Drosophila melanogaster: one gene and its partner. The protein of the gene in region 1 interacts with the protein of each later gene in a pairwise test. Each region holds a gene or a part of one and is shown on either strand. Other genes may lie near its edges.

The links.
Region 2: the proteins of CG4593 (region 1) and CG12206 interact in a two-hybrid assay, tested with the Drosophila melanogaster proteins (one large-scale study listed by BioGRID).

What each region holds. Positions count from the first base shown.
Region 1 is NC_004354.4:7,008,653-7,018,088, forward strand, and holds CG4593 (uncharacterized protein), read left to right. Parts: upstream 1-5,234; 5' UTR 5,235-5,324; coding exon 5,325-5,954; 3' UTR 5,955-6,357; downstream 6,358-9,436. Other genes in the region: cm (carmine), read right to left, coding at 826-1,011, 1,122-1,574, 1,631-1,790, 1,867-2,192, 2,248-2,335, 2,405-2,439; sloth1 (sloth 1), read left to right, coding at 2,951-3,104, 3,166-3,251; sloth2 (sloth 2), read left to right, coding at 3,257-3,442; CG3032 (uncharacterized protein), read right to left, coding at 3,636-4,931.
Region 2 is NC_004354.4:3,469,214-3,479,980, reverse strand, and holds the start of CG12206 (uncharacterized protein), read left to right. Parts: upstream 1-5,456; 5' UTR 5,457-5,840; intron 5,841-6,530; exon of another isoform or gene 6,531-6,609; 5' UTR 6,610-6,832; coding exon 6,833-8,107; intron 8,108-10,767. Other genes in the region: CG10804 (uncharacterized protein), read left to right, coding at 1-589, 650-853, 949-1,370, 1,432-1,630.

The DNA of each region.
Region 1 (9,436 bases):
CGGCTGCCATGGGTCAAGGGGGGCGGTCCAAGGCATGCATCGGGGGCGTGGCAGGGCAAACCGGTTACCGGTCTCGGCCAGAGGCAAAAATGCAGCTAAGCTTGTAGAAGGAGATAACGAGGCAACACAGTGAAACCTCGTGTGCTTGTTAATTGCATTAAAAAAAAACTGATTCTAATAGGGATTTAACGAAAAACTCATTGAAGAGTCAAATAGAAATTGAATTTGGGTTTCTTCTTAACAAAATGCGTGGGGTATAGTGTAATGTCACAACTCGATAATTTGATCAGTCTTTCACTTTTCAGCACTCTTGCCTAGAAATGTACGTTAGCGAGTCTCTACTTCTTCGCATTGTTCACACACATTGATAAACAAGATGTATACACACTATTCGTATGCTAAATGCGTTGGCCTGGCTGCAAAATCAAGTTTTGCATTTTCATTTGAATTTATTGGTTTCCTCGCTGGCTGTTGCCAGGCGCACTGCGATCGAGTGGAGTGACTTGACTTGGAGTGCAGTGCAGTCGACGGTGCCATTGCCATGCGATGCCATGCCAAGCCACGCCACTCGAAGACTTGCAACTTCATTCCCAATCAATTCTCGCATTCTTACTCTTCGAATATGGCGACGGCGTCCAAGAACAACGACAAGGCGACTACACTTGAAGTTAATATTTTATGGGTAGAGATATAGATACATAAATGAGATACACAGGGAGAGAGACGAGGGCTAGAACATCAAATGAAAAAAAAAAAAACAAGCGGAATACACTTAACGTTAGCTATTAATTAAAGCTGGAATTGGAATCCGGATGATGATTTTGTCTACATCCGCACCTGGAACTTGCCCGCCTTGGTCAGGTATTTGACGCCCTTGAAAGGCTTGTACTTCTCGCCGTACATGTCCAGGCGATTTACCTTTAGCCCAGAGACGGCCAGCTGCGAGATTTGGAACTGGACATTCACGGATGGATTGGCATCGATGTTGGTCGTACCGGGCGTAATGGAAACCTAGGCGTGCAAGGACAGTATATTATTAATGGGATAAAAATATAAATAATTTAAGACGTTAGATACATGAATCGTGTAAAAGTGTAAAGGGTCTCAATAGTTATTCTTACCGATCCCCTAATATTTGGCAACTTGGAAACATCGATCCGTCCCACATCCCAGGACAGCGTCTTGGTCACCGAATCGAAGGTATACTTTCCCTGATTCGGCGTCAATAGGCAATTAAGCACACACCGCGGCATGGTCAGCTCCAGCTTCACCTTGTCAACGGTGCGACCAAGGGTGTTCCTCGGGCCAATCGTGAGGTCCAGACGCCCCTGCTCACCCGTTTTGATCGAAAAGTTGTGCCTGATGTAGATGGGTATGGCCACCACGGACTGAGAGCTAATGTGATATGACATCAGGCGGAAGTTTCCGTCGGGCGGGATAAAGGAGAGCAGGCGCTCCGCCTCCCAGCGCTTGTAGCGCACGCAAGGATGGAAGGAAACGTCGTCGAAGAGGCGAGGATTCATGAAAGATAACGTCAGATCTGGCATGCCGGATAACTTAATGCAGCAGTCGATCTGATAAAAAAATAAAAGAGATAGAAATTATTTTTATAGACTTAAGTGAAACTTACGTGTCCCTGGATCTCGGCAAAGACCGTGGATCCGGATTTATCAATGATAGCGTCCACCTCCTCGATGACATCGAAGTACGCCTCGTTGTTGGTGTACCTCACGCCGCTTCTGCGCCAGCGAACCGCCGACAGCTGACCCGAGGGCAAAGTAGTGCTTACACTTCGGAAATCGGATTATTAATTGGATTATTAAGGTAAATGAAAGACAAAGACGGAGGGAGCATCATTCAACTTACTTGCTCTTGCCCGTCACCGTGTTGGCAATGGTGCGCAGGATATTGGGCGGCTTGATCAGCTCCTTGAGGATGTTGCTCTCGGTGGCCAGTGGGAAGCCATTATCGAGCATCTCGTCCAGCAGCTCGTAAACGACCACATAGTTGTCCTTGATCACGGACTCGGAGCAGTCGCCGAAATAGTCCTGGAAGGTGTCCACCACGCGATGCAGGAACTCGATGACAAAGAGCGGCGGCACCTCCTGCTTGCAGGCGGCGACCAAAGACACCGTGTCCCTTTGCACTGTAATCAGGTAGTAGTGGGGCGTGGCTATCACCGGCGGCACATCCTGCAACAAAGAGATATGGTCAGCATACAACCCATACGTGGCACGGGCGACTCACATATGGAGCAGCGCGCTGGGCGTCAAGGAAGTATTCGCACACAGATCTCGAGACAACCGAGCGCCAATGCTTTTCCAGGAAGACCTCGCTGAAATGCGGATATATGGGTATATGGGTATTACATCGTCTTCACATTTCACTTATAGGTATGGCTTACCCGCCGCTGTTTACAATAAACAGACTGTGTATCATAATTCGACCTAAATTGCTTGCTAGTTTAAGCTATGTTTTTTTTTCAGGGATGAATCATTAGCGATGACAGCGTGAAGGTGTTCTACTACCATGCTCCCGAAGCGCTTCAGTAACTGTTAAATAATTTCATTAAATTGAAATTAAGATAGGCTGAAATAAACGAACATTTATTTAAGGGGCCTTATACATAGTTAACTTATGAATTTATTTACTAACGTTGTGTTGTCATCACATCAGCTCATCACTAGCTCACTCGCTCATCTCTAATCGAACAGCTGATTGCTGCGAACCGGAACAAATGGAAATTGTATCGTGAGGCAAGTGGAGTTTCCCCTTTACTTTTGGCAAATAATAAATAAACAAAGGAACAAGCCTAAACATTTTCAATTAAACCATATACAGAACTAACGCACACATGTGACGGAGGCAATACACAAACACGGCACCTTTGAATCTCGCCTTAAAATTGGCGAAACCAACACGGAATTATATAACCGCCGGCTGAAAACACATGAGTCCGTACAGCGGATCCGTGCGTCGTCTGCTGGACAGTTGGCCAGGAAAGAAGCGCTTCGGTGTCTACCGCTTCCTGCCGCTCTTCTTTTTACTGGGCGCCGGCCTGGAATTCTCCATGATCAATTGGACAGTGGGCGAGACCAATTTCTGTGAGACTGCTACGCTTAAAACCTTACTTTTATTTACTAATACGGAATCTTTTCCATGCAGACCGCACTTTTAAGCGCCGCCAGGCGAAGAACTACGTGGAAGAGCAGCAGCATCTGCAGGCGCGAGCCGCGAATAACACCAACTAAGCAAAATGCCCGCCGGAGTTTCCTGGGGCCAGTACCTGAAATTCCTCGGCTGTGCCCTGGCATCCATGATGGCCGGATCGCAGGCTGTTCACCTTTACTATAAGCCTCTGGAGGACTTGCGCGTCTACATCGAACAGGAGCAACACAGCACACAGGTGGATCCCACCGCAAAGCCACCGGAATCTGCATAACACTGTGTACTAGACAAGTTATTGGTGACTAAAGCTATTTAAGTGAATGCCTGCTGTTTGTTGAGGAAAGGGTTGTTGGCATAGCACCTTCATGTCCTACGAAGAGCGTTACCTGTTCCAGAACATTCAAAAGACGCCACGTTTCCACTTAATCAGTCTATTTTAAAATCTTTTCCACTAAGGCTAGCTAAGACTACTTCTCGTGCACCTTCCGGTGGTTTTTAAGACACGTCTGCTGCCGGAAGGCCTGTCCACAGGTGTCGCAAATGTAGGGCTTCTCACCCGTGTGTATGTACTCATGGTGCCGCAGGGTTTTCCTAGAAGCAAAGCTCTCCGGACAGTGGTGACAGGGAAAGGGTTTCAGCTTTAAGTGGACTGCTCTCACATGGGCTTCGAGCTCGAATCGCCTGGCAAATCTTCTGCCGCAGTGCTCGCAGGGCAACTTGTCGTTCGAGTGCATCAGCATGTGCTGCAGCAGCATGAACTTCTTGGCCATCCGGCGTCCACAGACCTGGCATTCGTGGGGCAACTCTTCCTGCACCTCGTGCTGCTGCAAAGTGTGGTACTTGAGGGTGTATCGTGAATGGAACTCCTTTTGACAAATGTCGCAGAAATGGCGCTCTCCGGCGCCGCCCTCCCTGGCGGCCACCTCGTCCTCCGTGGGATGCTTTGTCTTAAGGTGGTATTTAAGATTCGCCGACTGGTTAAAGCTGGCTCCGCACTGCTCGCAGATGAATTTCTTCAAAGCATCGCGGTCACGCGGACTGTGCTTCAGCCTTTTGTGCTTCTGCATGGCTATGCGGCTGGTGTAGATTCTCTCGCAGCCTGGCTGGTCGCAGGGATGGCGTCGCTCCTTGGGGGCATGCACCTCTCGAATGTGGGTATACAGACCGCCCATGAAACTGTAGGCCTTCTCGCACTGATCGCATTGGAAGGGCCTTTTGCTGCCCTCGTGCACCTTACGGATGTGCGCTGCTAGGGTGATCTGGTGGGCAAAGCTGCGCCGGCACACAGAACACTTCAGGGTGTTCCTTGATCCCCTGAAGGACTTTCGGGGGGATTTATCACTTTTTATAGCCGGCTCATCGATGGGATCTGGGTCGGGAGCGGGTTCTGGTGGTTCCAGACCATGCAGAGACTCTTGGTCCTCCTCCCTGCCATCGTAGACTACTTCGAAAGTGGGTTCCCGTGGGTCTTTCTTCAGCATTTCCAGCAGCTGCTTCCTGCACTCGTCGGCTTTCCTGCGGAACTTTTCGAAATTCTGCACGGCGCTGCGGCATTCCAGGCACAGTTCGTTGGGCAGCCACTGCTGGTCGGCGTCCTGGTTCTCCACATCCTGCGATAGATTTATGTTGAGCAGCTGCTGCAGCTCCTGGCTGATTGGAATCTCATCTGATTGGAGCTCTGTCTTCAAGGGTTCCTTCTCCAATTGGAGCAGGCATGTGCAACAGAGTTCTCGTACGGATTCCCGGGTAAGATTTAAAGGCATTTTGTGGTTCTTTGAAAAAATTCAATTCAAAACGCTTTTTGTTAGGCGTTCCAACAGCTTGTTGTGGCTTTGTGAAAGAAGAAGAACATCAACTACAGTGCTCTCTTCAAAAAGCAAACAATAACTGTTTGACAACTCTGATTTAATATAAGTAGACGAATTTGTGAAAACGGTGTCCTAAAGAAATTTGAGTTATTAAAGCCAAATTAAAAGCGGAATTTATATATATACTAAGTGATACAGAAATCAGCACTATGCAAATTCCACTGTATTTCATTTGTATTTCAGACAAGACGTCGTCTGGTCACACTGAGCCAGAGGTGGACCTGAATCAAGCCTCCCAAGAAAACATATTTTATTCTATTTGCAGTTCGTCCTCTGGAATCTGGCGCAATGGTGTTCTACTTCAAGAGCAATGTGGTCCAGCCGCCGGCGATGCTATACATGGGTCGCGACAAGCACGAAAACGAGGAGCTCATCAGATGGGGCTGGCCGGAGGACGTGTGGTTCCATGTCCACGACCTGTCCTCGGCCCACGTGTATTTGCGGCTACGGAAGGGCCAGACAATCGACGACATACCCACCGATGTGCTGGTGGACGCCGCTCAGTTGTGCAAGGCGAACAGCATTCAGGGCAACAAGGTGAACAACCTGGAGGTGGTGTACACCATGTGGGAGAATCTGAAGAAGACCCCGGACATGGAGCCCGGCCAGGTGGCCTACCACAACGAGAAGGCGGTGCGTCGCATTCGCCTGGAGAAGCGCATCAATGAGATTGTCAATCGCCTGAACAGGACCAAAACGGAGGAGGAGCATCCCGATTTTCGGGGATTGCGCGAGGCGCGGGATGCCGCTGAGCGGCAAGATCAGAAGAAGATCCAGCGCGAGCGTCGCGAGCAGGAGAAGGAGGCTGCCAAGCAGCGTGAGCTGGAGGCGGAGCTGCGCAGCTATGCGTCCCTCCAGAAATCGGAGAACATGCGCACCAACTACGATGCCGGCAACGAGTCGGATGACTTCATGTAGTCCCCGGGTGGGCAGGACCAAGTCCTGGTGCACCCTCGCATTTACCCAAAACATCCTTTGCCATCCTCGACCTTTCTTACTCTATCAATCGCACATCATTTTGTAAATGCCATCTTTTTGGTTCATTAGAACGTTTGCGGCAGGCATTGCCAAAGAATTGCAGTGTGAGAAAAAAAAAATATAGATTGTAAATATAATAATAATAATAACAAGAAAGAATGCTATAGTCGAGTTATACCATTTTCTCAGCTAATGTGAATGCGAAATTTAATCATTTTCCTGGGATATCGAAAAATATTGGGGAAAAAATGACGGTTTTAGTGCGTTAGACTGGGCGTGGATGAAATTTTTTTTTTAAATCGATAGAAATTTAAGCGACTAATAAAATTGTGAAAAACCATCCAAACACTTATTAAAAATGTGGTCGTGGCAGTTTTGGGCGGTTTTACGGCGTGGGCATGGCTAGATAGAATCGGCTATTGAACCTGATCAAGAATAGATATACTTTATATAGTCGGAAACGATTCCTTCTGCCTGTTACATACTTTCCGACGAATCTAGTATACCCTTTTACTTTACGAGTAACGGGTATTTTGTGAGCAACTGCACTGCTTGCCAGTGTATAGTTAGTTTACTTTGTCACAGGTGGCGTGTTAAGCTCAATTCAAAATTTGAGTTATCGATATGAAACTGTAATAAACATATATTCGTTTTATTTACATGTCTGTAAACTTATCAGCAGAGGCTGGTTAACATTAGGAGAAGCGAACAGTCTGGCAACTCCATAAGTAAATTTCAAAAATGCCCGCATACAAATTTAAAAACTCATTCCGAATCGGTTGATTTCCATTTGATTGTGCCGAAGACAATTCGCGCTATCATCTGTCACATTTCCCACAATTTGATCGGCTCTGACAGCATCTGCAGCTTAAGCCTTTTTTTTGTTTTGGGTTTTCAGTTAATATTTTTTTTTTTTTTGCCCATCTTTATGATTGCTTATGTTTATAGTTGGGCGCCGTTTGGGGGCTCTGCCGTTTGCTGACCGTTTTATGGCTTCAACGGCTTGTTGCCTTTTTGAGTTTCTGGACAATTTGCTGTCAGCACATGGAAATGAATGGCTGCACGGCTGGCAAATCTTGTGTCAGCAAGAGCCGCACTCTTTTCGGCTCGGTAACGCACTCATTATCGGACATTTTATTTTCAGGCATTGTTCGCAACAACAATGGCAGCCAAACAACAATGGGGAAGCCCCCGAAAATGCGGCATGCGAAGAACTTGATGAGGCTGCGTGTCCTTTTGATAATGCCATACCAATCTCCTCCTTTTCGCTGTGCTCCGTCATTATGGCCAGTCGTAAACATTGATGACAGTGGGGCTGCACTCGGGTTACGCCCCCTTATCCGCCTGCCCCTGATTGATTCCCGGCGCCTGTGGCATTGTTTTCTCTGATTTAAAATGACTCTGCGAAGATGGTTTATGACCGCCTGGGCAGACAGATGTATGTATGTATGTAAGTAAGTCTTGCTTGGCTATAATAAAGTGGCATGACCATGAAAGTGGCCAAACGGGGGGTCACTGTCAAAGGAATCCCTCGGATATATCCCCCTCTTGGCCATCAGTAAGCGGCAATCGTCGTCATTAATCAAACTGGCAACAGTAAGCCCCCGCATTCCCCAACCCTCGTCAACGAAAGCTTCTCGCTTTCGCTCTTTATTGCATTTGTCACCACAGCATGAACAATGCACTGTTCGAAAAATTGTATGTTTTCACTTCTTTCACACAGTTTAATCGTGAAAACACATAACTTAGTTCTATCATTTTCTCGCTGTGCACGCAAACCTCTAGGACTGGTGAGAAAGCACACACATTGTGCTGGCGATGTGGGGAATGTCCATTTCCAGACACAACATAATTAGAAGCCGCAGCCTGGTGTTTTCTTGAATCTACGAAAAGGCACGAAACTGATTAACTAGTGGCTTTCGTACCAAATGCAGCTGCATATGCAGCTACGATTAATCAAAGTGGCCTACAGAATGGATGGCAGCTGGAAATTGGCTGGCTAAAAGCAAACGTTCGTGTTTTGGTAATCAAGTTTCGTATTTACTTGAACTCGATGTACGCCGGCCACTTGGATTGCAGCTAGTTGGTGTCCTAGTCCGGAACATTCTGGACCATCACTCATCCTGGCAGCGGTGGAAGGAGGCCATCCATCACATCAGTTGGTCCACTATTAGCAGGGCAGCAAAGGCGGAACCATTGTGCATTAATTTAAAATATTCGCCATCTTGATGGGAGATTAGCTAAGCTGCAGACCTCAAACAGGACAAGCTATGCACTCTAAATAATGGGGGTAATGTTGTCGATTTGATCTTAAATGAAAATACGCATGATACTGATAAACAGAGGAACGAAAATTAGAACGACTTGCAGCTTTCCAGCTTCAGCTGCAAAAAACAGTATGTTTTTTTTTTTCTCTATTTTTAGTAAGAAAAATATCAGAATTTTACGTACAACTTTTGTAATGGAAGTTCGAATGTGGAATGCCATACCTTGTTGAATTCGTAGCTTAATTTCCTATCGAGTGGCATTCCCAGCTAAAAATTTTAAAATTTCACGATTTTTCGAAAAAAAACGTGATGTTACCCCTTATAAAAAAGTGAAAATTTCGAAAAAAATTATTTTTACCAAATTATCTAAAAAATGAAATGGGTCGGTAGGTGAGGTTGTCAGCTGCAAAAAACAATATGTTTCGTATCTGTGCGCCTTAATTTTGCGAAGTTACAACTAAAAAACCAATTAAAAAATCGTTCATTTTGGCAAACAAATGTGTTATGATTTTTACTAACAAAAATGTTCGGATTTTATCCACAACTTTTTTAATAGTCGCTCAAATGCGGAATGCCATACATTGTTGAATTCGTAGCTTAATTTCCTATCGAGTGGCATTCCCAGCTAAAAATTTTTAAATTTCACGATTTTTCGAAAAAAAACGTGATGTTACCCCTTATAAAAAAGTGAAAATTTAGAAAAAAATTATTTTTACCAAATCATCTAAAAAGGGTAATGGGTCGTTAGGTTGGGTTGTCAGCTGCAAAAAACAGTATGTTTCGTATCCGTGAGTCTTATTATTGCGAAGTTACAACTAAAAAACTAATAAAAAAATGATAATTTTGGTAAAAAAAAGGTCTTGATTTTTAGTAAGAAAAGTATCAGAATTTTACGTACAACTTTTGTAATAAAAGTTCAAATGTGGAATGCCATATCTTGTTGGATTCGTAGCTTAATTTTCTGTCGAGTGGCATTCCCAGCTAAAAATTTTTAAATTTCACGATTTTTCGAAAAAAACGTGATGTTACCCCTTATAAAAAAGTGAAAATTTAGAAAAAAATTATTTTTACCAAATCATCTAAAAAGGGTAATGGGTCGTTAGGTTGGGTTGTCAGCTGCAAAAAACAGTATGTTTCGTATCCGTGAGTCTTAAT
Region 2 (10,767 bases), 3.5 Mb from region 1:
GGCCTCATCTCCGACGCAGTTCTATTGGTATCGCACCACATTGCAGTGCTCGGAGAGTGTGGATATGCCGGAGAACTTCAATTACCACATGGCCATTGCGCTAATTGTCTCCTGGTTTTTGGTCTACATCTGCATGGTCCAGGGCATCACGTCATCCGGCAAGATCGTCTATATGACGGCCATATTCCCCTATGTGGTGCTTATAATATTTTTTTTTCGGGGCATCACCTTGAAGGGTGCTGCAGATGGGGTGGCACACTTGTTTACCCCACGATGGGAAACTCTATTGGATCCAGTCGTTTGGCTGGAGGCCGGCACACAGATCTTCTTCTCGCTGGGATTGGCCTTTGGCGGTCTGATAGCCTTCAGTTCGTACAATCCGGCGAATAATAATTGCTACAGGGACGCCATACTCGTATCGCTCACCAATTGTGGCACATCCATGTTTGCCGGAGTGGTGGTATTCTCTGTCATTGGGTTTAAGGCCACGGCGACCTTTGATCGCTGCACTGAGGAGCGTAATGGGCTTGTGGCCCAGAACAAGACGCACAACCTGCCTGTCTGCGATCTTCAAACGGAATTGGCCAATGTGAGTTCACTTGCTATATGCTTACACGGAATATATACATATATATATTTACCATTTCAGAGTGCTTCCGGAACAGGTCTGGCCTTCATCATCTTCACGGAGGCGATCAATCAGTTTCCGGGTGCACAACTCTGGGCTGTCCTATTTTTTCTGATGCTCTTTACCCTGGGAATCGACTCGCAATTCGGTACGCTGGAGGGCGTGGTCACATCCCTGGTGGACATGAAACTTTTTCCCAACCTGCCCAAGGAATATATAGTGGGGGTGAGCCATTCTTATTTCTCAACTTCTTTACTCTGATTTATTGATGTTTTTCCTAGTGAATTTAATAATCAATTGAAATTTCATTTCTTTTGCAGGCACTCTGCTTTTCCTGCTGCACAATCTCCATGTGCTTTGCCAATGGAGCCGGGAGCTATATATTTCAATTGATGGACAGCTTTGCAGGCAATTTCCCGCTGCTGATCATTGCGCTCTTCGAATGCCTTTCGATTAGCTACATCTATGGGGTACGCCGTTTCTCGGACGATATTGAGATGATGACCGGTTCGCGTCCGAATTTCTACTGGATGTTCTGCTGGAAGTACCTATCGCCCTGTGCAATGGTCACCATTCTGCTGGCCTCCTTCTATCAACTTTTGACCGAGGGCAGTAGCTATCCTGCCTGGATTGGATCGAAGGGAGCCACTGAGGGCATGGAGTGGCCGCACTGGTGCATTGTCGTTGCCTTCTTCCTTATACTCTCATCCATTCTGTGGATACCAATTGTGGCGGTGCTGCGGTAATTAGCCAGCCTATGACTTATGTCTTATGATTTCACACACACATATTTCGTATTTCAGTCTGTGCGGAATCAAGGTGGTGGAAGACTCGGATCCCGCCTGGTTTCCCGAAGCGGAGCTAAGGGAAGTCCACGGCATCGTGCCACACGAACCAACCGAACTGGAGCGCAGCATTTTCTGCTTCAACATGGACGGTACGGAGGGCATGTGTTGCCCAAAGTACGGACTACCCGAAAAGTCGCTGGAAGAGGAGGAGTAGACACGCACAGGATACCAATGATAAGTTGACAACAACGACAATAAAACCAAATGAATTCTTGACCGAACCCAAACCGAATATGATACGAATGATGAAATATATATAATTGAATCTCGATGTAAATATGGACAATAAGTAAGCACTCACCGATGTTAGATGCGGCGTCGATATCAAAACACTCCTATATGGTCGTCCCAAAGACTGTTTGAAGATAAAACAAAAAAAAAAAAAAACAAAACCGAAAAACTATAATGCAAAGCAACCACAACAAGGAAAATGAAAATAGGAAAATAGCAATACTAGGTAAAACTCGACGCTGGATGCGCGGTTTCATTCAAGCAGAAAGCTATAGAAATGCATTAAAAAAAATGGGCGAAATCAATGGAAATATTTCCGCATAACTTCATTAGCATGTGGCCATATACATATATACGCGATTATTGTTTTCCATTGCCTTTCTTCTTTGGTTTGGTTTTGGTTTTTTTTTTTTTTTTTGTCGAAAAAGGGCAGAGAGAGTTTAGAGTTTGTTATATGGCCACCCTTATAGGGTCTACATATCCGATTTCGCTATCAAAGAGAAAACGTACAATTTGCCACAAACACAATTTGCTGACTATATACGATATATATATGTATGATAACTATATTCGACTAACTATGCTATATTCTAGACTTAATTCTTTAATTTGACCATATCATGCAAGGGACATCGGGGAGGGCACCACCTATATAGAAGATATATAACTATAACTATACAGTGACTATATCAAGCACAGTTCATTCTCTGTTGTGATCTCAGCTCGACGGCTTTCTGTGTGAATCACGAAATCATATCACATTCGAAACTATGCTTAAAACCTAAAAAAACTACTTTAAAGTCTCAGTGTTTTAGATATTTGATGGCGGAGATATGTATGTATATTGGAAATGAGTTATGTTTTGCTCTAATCGAAAGTTATACGAATAAAATTACTTGTTGGTAATCGTTATCATCGCCACACTCCATTGTACTTATGGCCTATAGGTATATCTGTAGTTATATATATATACATATACATATACATTTACATATACATTTACATTAAAGAAAAACATTAACAAATCGCAAACGCAACCGTTCAAATAGGTGGAAAATGAACCCTATAAAGATATACATATACATAACTGGAGATGGCAGCTTAAAGTTAAACGACTCATTATTATATATATATACATTTATTTATGTGTGTTTGAAATGCAGCTAATGGTCGCGTGAATTCGTTTTGAAACACAATTCTGGACACTTCTGGGCATTTTTAAAATCGATCAAAAATTAAAAACCCTTGAAAAAGAAATTCACTCCTCCATGTAGCAATGGATTGCACTGTATTATAAGTTATCAATTTCATTATGGTATACTTATACATATATATACATCGATATATATTATACACATCTATTTAGATCGAAAGGAAAACATATATTATACATGTATTTAATGTTATTGATGTTGACAATAAAGGAACCCTTACGAAACGAGTTTTAAACCAAAACGAAAGAGACGCGATATATGGGCGACCTTCTATTACCCGCAAAGAATACGCAGATGGAACACACGCAGTTTGCAAAAACTTGAAAATGAATAGTAATATATTTACGATAAACAATTAAAATCATATTGCTAAAAAAAAAAAAATTCGATGATTATTACAGAATTTGTTATCCTTATTTTGCTAGCTCACAAGAAACTTCTAATTGATGTAAAATTCTTTCATTTGCATTGAAACACATGAAACTATGATATAGATAATTCAACGTATGATTATTAACTTATGTTAAACTTGCAACTGTTAAGTCATAACAACAATTGCAACTAAATGACAATAAATAATAAAAAAAAAAAGCCTACGTTCATATGGTATTTTAATTGGCCACAAAAAATTGGGATTATTTTTTTTCTTTCACTTTTCAATTAGCCTACGACTCCTTTACAAATCCTGAATTCATAAAAACTTCTCCATTGATTAGTGAAGCTTGGCTAGTTTCTTTTCACTGACTAGAAGTAATACACAGTGAAAAAAAAATGGAATTAAATTGTTAAATGTAGATAAATAAGTTGTAAAACATATACAAATGTAACGAAAGGCGACAAAATTCTTTAAAAAATATTTTTTTTTCATTGGCAATCGATGGACAAGTGTCACTCCTTTCTCACAGTGCAGCAAAGTGTGTGAGTGTGTGTGCGCATGTGCAACGGTAATCTGAATTGGCCAACGCCTGCAGCAGCCCTTGTGACTTCAGCGGAGCGCAACAGGCGGAAACAAACTGGCCAAGTGACCGGCCATCGTGCTGGGCGGAGCGGTACCTCTACCACTGGGGGCGGTACGGGTGGCGGTGGCAAGCACAAACATACATAAGTACATACATACGTACATGCATACCATACATTAGTGGTCGTCATCGTTGGACGTCTCACTGCATCGAATTAGCGGTAAATTACAAGCTGCAGCGCCTGTTGCATGTGGCTGCTGCACTCGTACTTTCTGCATACTGCAAGTGCAGCTTTACATTCCGTTGATTGCACACACAAATTCGAGGCGTCTTTCTTTCGGTTTTTTTCTTTTTTTTTCTTTCCTTTGCATAAACACTTTGGTATTAAATATAATTAAAAGCTAAAATCCATTTGGCAATTGTTCAGCCGGAGCGACGAAGTCGCTTGATGGAAAGTTGTTGTTTATGCTTAAGTTGTACATATGTACATATTTCTAAGGCGGAAATTTCTGGGCGACAATGCGACCAATGCGTCCAAAGAGGAGGATTCGTTTGAAACTAGAATCAGCATGGGGTCAACTCGTTAGCTTTTTCAGCTTCAGAGATCCAGAAGTGCATATGTTTATTATATATATATATACATATATATATTTCTTGGTTCGAACTGAACCAATTTGATCGGCAAGCTGTTTTGATTGCCAGCGGAATCGGAATTCCTGCTCTCGTGTTGAAGTCTCAATCGCGTTATCGCCGCACCTGAGCCCCTAAAAACTGAAAACCAGTTTGAGGCCTTGCCACATTCCATTCAGCCATCCAATTGCCACTGCCCACTGTGCCCCGCGCACTCTCGATGTCCCACTGTGCAGCTGTGGCACCAAACAATTAACTTTGGCAACAAACGAGTACTGCGCCGCCAGCAACAGCAGCAGCAACAGCAGCGGCAGCAACAAGACCAGCAATAACAATAACAATAATAAAAGCGACGGACAAGTGCCGACGTCGACATGGGCAGCGACTGCGGCAGAGGCAGCGCCGTCGACAGCGGCTGCGCATGCGCACGTAAACAAATTCTCAGCGGCGCATATTTGTTGCCCGCTTTTTCCTTTGGGGTAAGTTGACTTTTGCACTCATCGTGCAACATGCAGGCTATGTCAAATAAATGCAACCTATTTCTATGCATTTAATAATAAATATAATATATTTTCAATATAATTGAAAAATAATTAAGCAAATGTGTAGCAAGTAAATATTATTAATTATTAGGGCAATACTTGAAATCTGACTTAATTGCGTACTTAATAAGCTAATAAATCTGCTGACAGTGTATTTAAACCATCGCCTTGAAGCTCTTTTATTTTTGTTTTAGGTAATTTCAGCGGCTGCTGCTTTTTTTTTGTGAGTTTCTTGAAAGCAAAAATTAAAAAAACCTCAACAACAACTGGCTTGAGAAAGAGTCGGCGAATGGGCGGCAGACAGAGAGGAAACTATGCGAAGAAGAAGAAGTGGTAAAAAAAAAAAAAAAAAAAAAACAATCCCTGGCGAAACACGCCAACCCAAAGCGACTTTGTTGCTGCGGCTTCAGTTGCCAGCGCGATTTTGAATGGATTGTACGCGCGGCGAGTTCTCAAAAGTCGTGTTTTCAAGCCGATATACATGTGCATATATATACATATATATTACATATAGTAACTGAAGAATCCCAACGAAAGATCAAAGATTGATAGTAAGCACAGCAACATGAAAATCTAAAGGAAAAAAACAGACTGCGTGCGTGTGTGCAATATATGAAAAAATATAGTCCAATAAAAAATCTCTGAATTTTTTGATTTTTTCGATTTTTTCAATTTTTGTTTTATTTTTGTGTGTGTGTTTGTTTGGTATGCTATCAAATGAAAATTGTGTGCAATAAGCGGCGAATGCAGGCCAGCAGCAGCAACAACAACAACAGCAATACCAACGGGTAAATATTTCCAAACAACAAACGAAAAAAAAAACACAAATACCAGGTTCAAGTGTAACCAGTTTCCAGATTCCAAAGAGAAAAAAAAAAATCGTAAAAAACCGCAGTCAAAAATGCCGCGGGCTGTGCGCGCCCAATATTTCAAGTTCCTCCTCAGCAATTTAAATGTAAATTCCGACTCGTTCTTAAGTTTGAAGAACATTCACTGTCGGAATCGAAAAAGTTGCTGCACTAATCGATACGGCTTGCTACATACATACATATGTAGCTACATTAATAACGAAATGATATCTGAAGTTGATTTCGTTACAATAACTATCTTTTGTTTATATTTAAATTGTTTCAATTAATTGCTTAGTTTACAAATATGTATAGAAAAGAAATGATTAGCTGCAAAAATTACAGGGTATTCAGAATTTTATATTCCTTTTGCTTACGACATTCTTTAGCCAGTTCTTTCTGCTTTTTGCGGTGTTTCGTGTTTATCATTATTATGATTATTATTATTTTTTTTTTTGTCTGGTTTCCCATCTGTATTTTTAGTATGCTGGTAAAGCCTTTAACATTTATTCAGCATCATCTTCAACTTAAATGTCAAGCTCGTGTGGCGGCGTCTAACACACTTGGAGAAATTGAAAATACCTATCTTGGTTAGCTTTGGGGTCATATTTAGACATTTTTTAGACTATTAGAATCTCAACGGCTCGTCAAAATTTCAGTCGAAAATAAATAAAACTTTATTTCATTGGCATAAATACATTTCTTGCAGAGGCAACTGCGGCAATTACTTCAATCGTATGCAGGCGGCATTCTAACTGTAAAGCACTTGGCAACGGTCAACGGCAGAGACAGAGGCAGAGGCAGAGGCAGCTGCAAGTGGAACGCACAGGAGCAACATCATTAGCCGGCACTTGATTGCATCAGCTTGGAGGCACGAGATCTAGGCACTGGATATCTGAAATCGGATATCGACAACCAGATGCTGCAGAACCATGGCGGCAATTACTAGCAATGTGTCGCGATTGGAGCCAATGCGCGGTATTTCCATAATCATTGAATCGCCAGAAGTGGCAACGGCAACACCACCACCAGCAACAACAACCGCAACTGCCGAAGCAGAAGCCGCAACAAAACAAGTAGCACCAACTGCCAAGAGCAACAGCAACACTGAAATGTCGCTCAAGTCACAGGCTGCTGGCATGTTGCTGGCATTTGGCGACACAGCAGCAACAGCCAAAGATAATTTGGAAACTAGTTACGACACTGCAGCAAAGTCGACAGCAGCACCAGAGACCAACAAAATCTATCCGCAGTTACTGTTGCGCATTGGCGGAGAAATTGCCGGTGCAACAGCATCAGCAGAAGCAGCAGCATCAGCAGCAACAGCAGCAGCAGCAACAGCAACATCACCGACCATAATCAGCTGCAATGGTGAAATTGCCGCCAGTCAAGCAGCAGCAACAGCAGCGGACACAGCGGCAACATTGCAACACAACAATACGGTGAAGATTCAAATCGAAAGCCAGGGTCAGCAGCGAACACTGGGCAAGCAGATAAGTGTGGTGAAGCTGAACGAGGGCGTGGAGGAGATGCAGCAGCACATGTGCTATTTGGTGGACACCAGTGGCCAGTACTCGCCCTGCGAGACCTTGGACAGTGGCACGGGCAGCGATCTGGAGAATCATCCGCAGCAGCAGCAGCAGCCGCAACAGGTGAGATCACCGCAACTGGAGCTTCATCTGCAGACCACGCGGCTGATGGTCAACGAGGAGGCGGACCATAAGCACAGCCCGCTGGAGACGCCGAGTCCCGTTCCGAAGCGAGCATATAGCCTCACCGATGACAGCGAGGAATGCGATGAGAGCAGCAACTCATCGCTAAGCTGCGATTCCCTGCACTCTGGTGGCCTGCTGCCCACTACCCTGCTGCGGGATATTCGATTCAGGGAACGAGCGTCCGGTCCTCTGGTCACCAAAATCAATGGCAGACCATTGCAATTCGAAACGGATGGCTATTACACATTCCATGTGCGCGAACACGAGAATTTCCGGAGTTTTGGTTCCAATTCCTCGACGGAATACGAAGCGCAGCACTTTACGGATGAGCAGCCGGGTGAGGATTTTGTTGGCTTTCGTGACATTCGAACGGCGGGCAAGCTCGCCGGCAATTCTACAATTAAATCCGCCAAGGGAACCGTACGGGGCGTCAAGAATCGTGTGCGCAATGGAGTAGCCACCTTCTTGCAACTGCAACAGCCCAATGTCAAGGTGAGATTTGCTAATAAGAGTAAGCAACGAAATCAGGTTGAATACTTTGTTTGAGATAGTCTTTTCCAATGAGAAAAACAGCGAAACAAAGCCCATTCAACAATAAAAAAAAGGCATGGAAAATGTGCAATGTATTCGTTGAATGGATACATTAAGCGAATTCATTAATTGCAATTGCAATTTAAGTGAACAATTTCAGCAATGAAAGTCATTGCATTCACCATTGGCACTCAAAATTTAAAAAAAAAAAAAAATGTAAGAATGTCAGAATGTCAATTCCGCCTTAAATCAAAATCAAATTATTTATCGAATTTAAAAATATTTTCAGTTTCGTTTGTATTAAATTAGCGCATGAGAAATTCGAATAAATATTTGAATACCACAAAACTACAATATTATGCGCCAACTTTGAATATGATTCACACAAACACTCATTCAATTGCATGTGGGGGTTATTCATTGAGAAAGTTTTTTCGGTATGGATTTCTTTTTTTTTTTGTGTGTGTGTATTTTTGAACATTTTCGTATTTGTTGTTTAACTTTTGCCTTTGGGTCGCTGACTTTTTCACACCTACACTGGAGATGCATTCGAAACTAAAGATACAAGTATAGTATTGCAGTTGGGCGTCATTATGCAATGCTGATTTATATGTATATTTAAATACATACATATATATTGCATGTGAGGGATCGTTTGTTGGCCTGTGTGAAAGTGAATCCAGACATTTCGGTGATTCATTGCCGCCTTTTTTTTATATATATTTTTTTTTTTTATTTCATTACGATTATTATTGAGAAATTTCTTTCACGAAAGACAATTAACACCTGACTGCCGCTGTCTATTTGCGGAGCTTGTTGTTGCTTGATTCGCCATTAAGCGGCTTAATATGTCGCATACGCCCTTCATTTCTATATGGATATCAAATCCGAAAAGGCAAAAGAAAGCTAAAATGCTGACGGAAGTACAAAGCCAGATAGTCGGCTAGATAAGTTATACATATAAAGTTTGCCTTAAATGATCCGCCACCTGACTAATTGCAAGTGTCTTTTTGTCTCGTTGTCTTATTTCTCAAACCTTTTGATTTCGGTTTTCTCTTTTGTGGAAAGTTCTCTTCTAAACGAGGGGGGGTTCCAAAAAAAAAAAACAAAACGAAAACCAAAATTAATTGACCTATTTTTTGGTGGAGGGGAAGCGCGTCGAATCGCAGTTTTATTGTGCCAGAATTGGCCACGCTCGCACTTCTGAAATACCCTCGATTTTTTTTTTTTGCCCTGTCATCGGGTTGATCTCTGGCCTATTGTATATCGCTTTTAAACGCCTTTTTAATGTGAGTTTTGCGAAATCAATTTACCAGACAGGCGGTATCGAGTTAACCCTGGACATTGAGCAACTATTACAACATCTACCTAATAATTGGTGTTCGATCTGATTGGCTAAGTGCCACGCGGGCAGTTAAAACTTTGATGGTAGTTCAATAATTTCAAGTATCGGTACATTTTCTATTATCTTACATTACATTTATTACCATTTGTGTAGATTCCAAAACCTCTGTGGCATTAAGCAACCTTCGTGAATTTATATAAAATACGACGACAACTCTATCATAGGGCTGTCACCCCCATGAACTTCAAGGGAGTTCATCAATATTTCATCCAAGACTCAATCAAATATATTTGACTGCCTTCTCAACGAATTAAATGTCAACTTCTTTGGCGACTCACACGTTTTTGTTTGGTGATTTTTCTTAGTCAAATTAGCAAAGCCAACCTTGAAACCAAAATCAATGTATAATTATTGCTAAAATAAAAAAAAATGAAAGATACCAAAAATTATTTGGCTAAAAACAGCTTGCATAATTTGTTCAAGAAACACACAAATTATCATAATAAAGAGCCACTAATGCGTTAATTATGCAACAACAACAACAACAACAGTAACAACAATCGGATATACTGAGCAGACAGATCGAATTATATTTTATGGGCCGCAGCCGATTCCTTTTGCCTTTTGTTTCAGATACGAGTTTTTTTGCATTTGGAGTGGTGTCATTAAAATATCATTTAGCTAATTTGAGTTTGAGCACACACATACATACATACATACATACATACATACATACACACATCTACCAATATAATTTTGTGAACAATCATGTCTAAGTTTAAGCACTAATCGGTTTGGCCAAAAAAAAAAAAACGAAAGTTTATGTGTGTAATGACCCGATAACAAGCCCACTTGCACACGAAAGTCCCCTTCCAAAGATTGAAATTGAATATTTTAACCAAAAATTGCTATAGTAATTTCACTATATTATATATAGCATTTTACAGCACTACAGAAAAGGTGGCAAAAAGACCCTTTCAACAAAATGAGAAAGTATTTAAAATTTGCTGGCCCTAACTACTAATTTTCCTATTTAAGTTGTTTGTTGTATAGTTTAAATTGCAGGAAAACCTTTTAACCTGCTCCCAATTGAGTAAACGAATAAAGAGACAATGGAGTAATTTTATGTCATAAATAGCAAGCTTAAAAATTAGATAAAAAGTAACAATTTATCAGAATAAGTAATCCCACCATTTTTTGTTCCGACAAATATTTCGTATTGAAGATTCACTTGAAAACAATATAATCCCGTGTAGAAAAACTTTTTCATTTGAGT